2 linked regions of the Sus scrofa genome follow. The protein of the gene in region 1 interacts with the protein of each later gene in a pairwise test. Links are inferred from orthologs where the notes say so. Each region holds a gene or a part of one and is shown in the gene's direction. Other genes may lie near its edges.

Region 1 (4,111 bases):
GTTCAATTTCCAAATGCTGAGTGAGGGTCCCGACGTCTCTGTGGCTGCTGCCTCGCCCAGAGCACACGACGTCTGCCTGAGCTCTAAGCCACGGGAACTGGGTCGTTGAGGGCCCGGTACCAGCCTGCCTGCTGGGCATGTAGGAGGCGGTGGCTCAGTCTCCTGCACCAAGTCCCCACCTGGCTTTCGCGGCTCCCGCAGGGGGCTCCCCATGCCCAGAGGGTGATGTCAGCTCCCCGGAAGGCCAGGCCACCACGCAACCCAGCAGTGCCAGGTCTGTGCCGGGACGCCCAAGGTTTCTGCGAAGTGGCCCGCTGACCATCCTGGGCAGAAGGCAGAGAAGCCCCCACACGGCCTGAGGCGTGAGACCCCACAGGAAGGGAGCTGGCCAGGCGGGAGGGAAGCTCCTCAGGAAGGGGGAGCCGGGAGCACCGGCCAGGCTCCCATCCAGCCCGTCCAGCCGCAGCCCCTTCGCGGAGCTGAAGCTGGCAGCTCGGTTCAACTGGCAAAGCTCCCCGGGCAGCGCGGTGGCCTGGGGATTCCCCAACCTGGCCAGGGTGCAGCTGGCAGCCAGGGCTGGGCTCCAGGCTTTGCCCGGCCTTCTGCAGCCCTTCTGAAGTGCTGGGGTGGGGGGCTGCTGTCACTGTCATGTGTCCTGGTGGAGAAGGGGTGGTCCCAGGAGGGGCGGGGCCGTGCCAGCCACAGCAGGCCAGTGTGCTGCGGGGCGCCTGTGCCCGGGGCCCTGTTTTGGGACACCACACCGCCCCCTCCTGGGACCAAAGTGGGCCAGCAGGGGCTCGAGCTCTGTCAAGCCTTGGCTCGCACTCCCCACTCCTCAGGGTCAGGGCTGGGCCTCCAGGGCGGGCCCTGGGCCCCGCGGCCAGCCCTGCGCTGGCTGGCAGGGCTCTGGGCAGCCTTCCTGGGGAGCCACTTCCACTTCCCTCCCCCGCCCCCCAGGCCGCCCTGCTCGGGCGAATCAGCAGCGGCCGCAGGGATGGTCCCTGCGGGGTTAACGCCAGGAAGTGCGCTCCCTCCCGCCCCACCCTCCCTGGCCGGCAGCCGCGGCAGCTCCCACCGCTCACACACCGGCTTGGCGGCCCAGGCTGGCCGGCGACCGGCCACTGCACAGGTGCCTCAGGAGGACCCCAAGGTAGGCTGGTCTGGTGCCCTTTCGGAAAGGCGGCGGCAAGCCCAGGTGGCTCAGGACTCTTGGGACAGGGAGAGGGATCTGGCGTGAACACCCCAGAAGGGCACCAAACGGCCTCACCTCTGCTGCCCCGTCCCCCTCGCAGCCACCTGGCACGGTCGCTTCGGTGGAATGCACAGCAGGTCATCGTCAGGCGTGGGTGCTGTGGACTTGAGGCTAGAAAGGCCGCAACAGGCCAGGTCCAGAGACCGGCCACCAAGGTGCTGGTGATTCCTCTGGACGCCGCGCCTGTCGCTAGGCGGGCGGGCCGAGGGCGGTGGGACCCACAGCCACGGCCTCTGGGATACCACGGCCTCTGGGACCGTGCCCCAGCCCCCGTGGCCCGGGAGCCGGTGTTTCCCAGGCAGGTTACAGGCTCAGTCCCAGGTGTTGAGGCGGGGTCTCTGTGCCCCCCGACCCCTCTCCCCCAGGAGGAGGCATGGCCACATGGCTGCTCCTGCTCAGCCCGCCCCAGAGCGTGGTCCCTGCCCACCCGCTGCTGGAAGGGCTAGCAGAGAGCAGCTTCCACGTAGATGGTCCCCTGTCAGGGAGCCAGCATCCCCGTGCTCAGCACTGTGGCCGAGGAGATGGGGAGAGCCCGGGGCCAGCTAGTGCCCAGCACCCAGAGCCTGGAGGAGGCGCGCAGCCGCGTCCTGGGCTGCCTGGGCGACACAGCTGGGCCCTCCCCATGTGCCCAGGGCCCTCCGGTGGGCTGCTCTCAGTCACGCTTCCTGGAGGGCACCACGTCCCTGGGCCTGACCGGAGCGGGCCAGCTGGGCAACTGTTGCATCACCAGCCACAGGAAGCAGAGGAAGGGATGGGAGTGGATGTGCGGGGGAATGAGGAAGTCCCGCGTGGCATGGCCTGCCGCCCGCAGGTGGGGGGCGCCCCAGCCGGGCGCGGGCTGGCCGGGGGTGGACCGGGACCCCTCCCTCATCTGCCGGGGAGGTTGTGCCAGCGCTCGGCCCAAACAGCTCCTGCTGCCCCCTCACCTCCAGGGAGGGAGGCAGCCTCCCTGCCCGCCCACAATGCTCGGGGAGGGGGATTCTCCCTGGGCACAGGCTGGGGGGGTAGCGTGGGGCAGGGGCCCAGGGTGACGGGGGCGGGGGAGAGGAAGCCCAGAGCGGCCAGAGGGCGGGGGCAGGGCAGGGCAGGGCGGCGGGCCAGTTGACGGGCCCTCTCTCGGAGCAGTGCGCCCGCCCGCACCATGTCCGACTACGAGAACGAGGACGAGTGCTGGAGCGGCCTGGAGGGCTTCCGCGTGAAGCTCATCTCCGTCATCGACCCCGCCCGCATCACGCCCTACCTGCGCCAGTGCAAGGTCCTGAGCCCCGACGACGAGGAGCAGGTGCTCAGTGACCCCAGCCTGGTCATCCGCAAGCGGAAAGTGGGTCAGTGCCGTGGGCGGCGGGCTCTGCCCACGCTCGTCCCTGTCCCCGGGAGGCCTGGCCGGCTCGGCCCCCGCCCCGCCCCCCCCATCACCAACCTGTCTGCCTGCGGCCGGGGCGCCGCCATGCACAGCAGAGGCCCCTGGGAGAGCCACACGAGGTGGGTGGCCGATGGGGACTGGCCCAGACCCACTCTGCGGCCACCCCGCGGGGCCTCGAGGGGCCACACGCGTGCCTGGGGACGCCGGCCGCCCCGGCCCCCAGCCAGGCCCATCTGGGTTGCAGGCGTGCTCCTGGACATCCTGCAACGCACCGGCCACAAGGGCTACGTGGCCTTCCTCGAGAGCCTGGAGCTCTACTACCCGCAGCTCTACAAGAAGGTCACGGGCAAGGAGCCCACCCGCGTCTTCTCCGTCATCATTGGTGAGGAAGGGCACCGGGCCTGGGGACCCAGGGCCCGGACTCAGGGGCCGGGGCGCCCCCCTGACCTGGGCCCCTAACGGATAAAGCGTGCATGCGCTCTGGCGGAAGGATACCGCCCGCCTGGGGCCCGCCCGCCCGCTCTCCTGCTGCAGCCCGGGGAGGGGGCAGGGGCCGGAGGGAAGGGGGACCTGAACTCCAGGGCGGGAGCAGGGGGAGGGGAGGCACAGGCTGATTCTTGGCTCAGAGCCCCCCTGCCCAGAAGACCACCTGACCCCACTAAAACCCTGCTCCCGAGAGGCCGCGGCAGCCGGAGAGGTGCCGCTCTCCTGGTCCTGAGTCGTGTCCCCTCGCCTCTCAATCAAGATGACCAAAGTGGACAAAGAGGGAGGGACACGTGAGCCCCTGGCTGCACCGTCCTGGGAGGGGCTGGGGACGGGGCCTGCAGGTGAGTCAGGACCAGACCCCTGGGCCGGGCTCCCCGGGCCGCCGGTCCTGGAGCCGCGCGAGATGCTGGGCTGCTGGGCGCGCCGTCTGATGAGGCCCGGTCCGCAGACGCGTCTGGGGAGTCCGGCCTGACGCAGCTGCTGATGAGCGAGGTGATGAAGCTGCAGAAGAAGGCGCAGGACCTGACGGCGCTGCTGGGCTCCAAGGACGACCTCATCAAGGAGCTGCGCGTGAAGGACGGCCTGCTGCGCAAGCACCAGGAGCGCGCGCAGAGGCTCAAGGAGGCCTGCGAGGCCGGCGGCCGCGAGCTCCAGCGCTGCAAGGACGAGAACTACGACCTGGCCCTGCGCCTGGCCCGTCAGAGCGAGGAGAGGGGCACCGCGCTCATGCGCAACCGAGACCTGCAGCTGGAGGTGCCTGGCGGCGGGGCGGCCGGGCGGGCGGCGGGCGGGCGGCGGGCCCCCGGGCTGGGCTGACGGGCGGCCCCGCAGATCGATCGGCTCAAGCACAGCCTCATGAAGGCCGAGGACGACTGCTCGGTGGAGCGCAAGCACACGCTGAAGCTCCGGCACGCCATGGAGCAGCGGCCCAGCCAGGAGCTGCTGTGGGAGCTGCAGCAGGAGAAGGCGCTGCTGCAGGCCCGGGTGCAGGGCCTGGAGGCCTCCGTGCA
Region 2 (3,645 bases), on another chromosome or scaffold:
GAGTAGCGGACAGAGACGTGAACCCTGCTGGCACTGTGTCAGTGAGAGCGCCAGCTAATGAGGACAGGAGCAGTGACACTTCACAGACAGCGACCTTCGTCCTTTCTAAAGAAACGTGTGCCCTTGAGGTGGCAGAGGAGATGCATGTGGCCTTAGACTTCCCCTTCGGTTCTTTGATTGAGGAAGTGTCACCAGCTTCCAGTCCTGACCCACAGGCACCAGGCACAGACGCACAGACGGCTAGGGCTGTGTCCTCCTGCGGCGCGGAGCTCTCTGAGGCGCGGCGTGAGAGCGGTGACCCGCCGTCCCAGATGGAGTCGGTCGATATGGCCGTAACAGAAAAAGACAATTCTTTGGCGGGTCCAGCCCCTCCAGTGGGACAAGATAACTTACCTCGGGCACCGCCAGTGCCGTTTCCTGCTGAAACGCCTCTGGTATTTAGGCGTCCCCCCGAGAGGAGAGGGACGTGCTCAGCCCTTCCCGGTGCAGTCCCTGAGCAAGCTGTCCCGGGGGAGCGTGACCAGGGTCCCCCCCTCTCCGCAAGGGCACCGAGCTGGGACGCAGAGCCGAAGCAGCCTGCCTCGGCTGCCAGGTACAGAGATGCCCCGGGAAACCAGGCGACCTCAGGGAGTCCCCTGCAGCCAGCGGCGGTGGAGGACAGAAGCCCCCACGTGAGTCACCTCATCTGGGACTCCAGGGACCCTCCCCTCAGTCCCAGGCACATTCTGGAAACTCAGCCTTTGGCTGCGGCCTTTGTCTCCGCGGCTGCGCCCGCTGACGCCAGTCTGTCCCTGGGGGAGCAGGCCGGCCCCGAGAGGCCCCCGGAGCATCTCCTTGGCGGGGACCTGAAGACAGACGGCCGCTGCTACATCCTCGTCAGGTCCCTTCGCTCGGGCTCGGTGGACAGCGCCGCCGGCCCCGGGGGCCTGGTCCACGCGGAGCGGCCGGCAGCCGGCCTCTGCTCGGGCCCCGGAGCCGCGGGGCCAGGGCCGCAGACGCAGGAGATCTCGGCCGTGAGGATGGCCAGGCTGCTGCAGAATAACGGCCCCGAGGCCGGGACCCTCGGCGACTCCGTGGACCTGGGAGGCGCTGGTCCGCAGTGGAGACCCCCGTCTCCTCCCGCCTTCCACCGGCTGCGGGCCGGGTCCGCGGGCCCAAGCCGGGACCTGGTGGGCCATGGGCCCTTGCCCCCCTGCTCACGGGCCGATGCGCCCCCCGACACGGCGGCCGCCGGCCTGGGCGGCGGGCAAGCGCCTTCTGCCTCCTTTGTCCCCGGATCTCGGGCCCCTCTTGGTGGTGGCGTCTCTGGCGCTGAGAGCGCTGGTGAGGGGCCGAGGGCCCCGAGGGACCCTGCGCCCCCGGGTCTCCGTGCGAATCCTGACATCCATTATGAGCCACTTTCCGGAGACTCGGATCAAGACTCTCTTGGCGAGTGTGCGAAACCCAGGGAAGACGCCCGGGATTCCTGCGCTCCGCGGTGTAGGCGTGCCGAGGACAAAGGCGCCTCCGACGAGAGTGACGACCCTTTCCTGGGCCTGAGCCACAGCGACGACGACGAGGACTGGGGCCGCTCGCGCCGGCTGCCCGGGCTGGAGCCCGCCAGGCGCGTGCCCGCTTTCGTCCGCGTCCGCGACCTCCGCGGCGTGGCCCGCGCCTACGCCAACTTCCCGGTGACACGGGCGCGGAGCCGGGCCCCCGGCGGCGTGGCCCAGGGCGCCTCGCTCCGCCTGCGGACGGACACGGGGCCGGGGGCGGCCGACCTCACCCGCAGCACTTTGGATCTGGAATATCTGCGTTTTGCGCATAAACTAAAGCAGATGGTGAAGCGCGGAGACGCCCGGCGGTCGGGCCCCTCGGCCCCCGCCTTTCCCAAGGCGGCCCCGGCGCCCGCGCCCGCCTCCCGGAGCCGAAGTCCCCTGGTGGTGACCGTCGTGCACTCGGACCCCAGACCCCCGGGTCGTCGGGCAAGAGGCCACACGCCCCACCGCATGGCCCAGGCCTCTTCGTCCTGGAAGGAGCGGGGCGCCCACGGCAGGAGCCCGCTTCCCAACTCGGGCGGAAGCCAGGCGGCCGCGCTCCACCTCCACAAGCTCAAGTACAACAGCCCCTGGAAGGACTCGCGCGGCGACATCTCGCTCATCCTCAGCGAGTTCGCCGAGTTCAACAAGGTGCTGCTCGGCAGCGGCAGCCAGGCCGCCCCCCGAGACCCAGAGCCCAGCGAGGCCGCGGCCCCGGCGCCGGGCCCGCCCTGCCCGCGGCCCGCCTCCTACGAGGACCTGGTGGCCGACCTGTGCGCCAGTCTGCGCGTCAAGCTCGAGCGGGTGGTGAAGGAGGCCTGCGCCAGAACCTTCCTCTTCCACCTGGTGGAGACAGCCGACGAGTCGTTCTTCCTAAGGACGAAGGTAAAGGGCCGGGCTGCTCCTGCTGCTGCTGTCCGTTTGGCGTCTGAGTCTTTTCGTAAGGAACCGAGCAGCCTCAGCTTCAGAAAGAAGCCAGCACCAGGGGGTGCTTGAGCTCCACAGCTCCGTGCGCGCCGGGCTGGAGGAGAGGCTGGAGGGTCTGCCGTGTGCACTGTTGGAAGATTTATGTGATTTCTCAAAACTGATGCGGTGCCTTGTTTTCACAAAACAGCACTTGGGGAGATGTATTCAGGGTGGACACAAATAGAATCCAGAGGCAGGTTCAGGTTTTAATCACTAATCCTGGAGCTCCCACCATGGCTCAGCGGAAGCAAGCCTGACACGTGTCCGTGAGGGTGTGGGTGTGAACCCTGGCCTCGCGTACTGACCTGAGGATCTCGTGTGGCTGTGGCTGTGGTGTAGGCCGGCAGCTGTAGCTCCGATTCGACCCCTAGCCTGGGAGCCTCCATAGGCCGCGGGTGCAGCTCTAAAAAGCCCAAAAAAAATTCCTCCCTGTGCTCACCCATTAGTGTAGTTGAGGGGACCTGAGCGTCCTTCCCAAGTGGACGTGTGAGGACCCCTTTCTGTGCTTGTCTCGGGTCTCGGGATAAGAGGGACACGAGAAAAGGGACATTAGAGATGAGCGCCCAGCTCTGGCAGGTGCCGAGGCAGGTACAGGGCAGCACCGAGAGGGACGCCGGCCTCGCGTCTGCAGTGGTGATGGCCAGACGAGGAAGCGTTTGTGCAAGCCCCGGCTCAAGTCCAGGGTGGCTGTCGGGTGACAAACGTGGCCCACGATCAAACTGTCAACGCCGAGCTGCTGAGTAACATCAGACACCTGAAGCTGCTCATGGCATCTGCGCCATCGCGGGCGTGACAGTCCCCACCACGGTGCATTCGGAGGGCCTGGAGCCAGGACCGCACTGCGGCCCCTGGTGGCTCCTGCTCCAGAGTCACTGGGACACGTCACTCCGTGAGTGCTTCCAGTCAGTCTCAGTGCCACCGGAGAAAAGCATGAGGGCCTGAGGAGGCTTCCAGAAGGGTGGGCAAGGCTCGGGGGCACAGGGCACAAGCAAGGGCCCCGCAGACGCACTCGGAGGCTGGCCGTCCTGGGGTCACGGGGCGCTGGGAGGTGTCTCAGATGAAGGGCGCTTGCTGGCGCTTAGAGGGGCCTCTTCCGCCGGGCGGAGGATGGGGTGGAAAGGGGGCAGCAGGCCTTGCCTTGAAGCCTCGCTGTGCTGCCACA

Evidence for each region. The genes of interacting proteins can lie anywhere in the genome.
Region 2: the proteins of CARD9 (region 1) and FAM208B interact in binary tests that used the Homo sapiens proteins (3 or more experiments, as listed by UniProt). The two-hybrid records come from large-scale screens. The link is inferred for Sus scrofa from reciprocal best matches to the Homo sapiens genes CARD9 and TASOR2.

Annotation. Positions count from the first base shown.
Region 1 is NW_018084833.1:1,342,264-1,346,374, forward strand, and holds the start of CARD9 (caspase recruitment domain-containing protein 9), read left to right. Parts: upstream 1-1,169; 5' UTR 1,170-1,719; coding exon 1,720-2,063; intron 2,064-2,377; coding exon 2,378-2,577; intron 2,578-2,859; coding exon 2,860-2,997; intron 2,998-3,549; coding exon 3,550-3,854; intron 3,855-3,932; coding exon 3,933-4,111. UniProt on the Homo sapiens protein: Adapter protein that plays a key role in innate immune response against fungi by forming signaling complexes downstream of C-type lectin receptors.
Region 2 is NC_010452.4:65,205,882-65,209,526, reverse strand, and holds part of FAM208B (protein FAM208B), read left to right. Parts: coding exon 1-2,402; intron 2,403-3,645.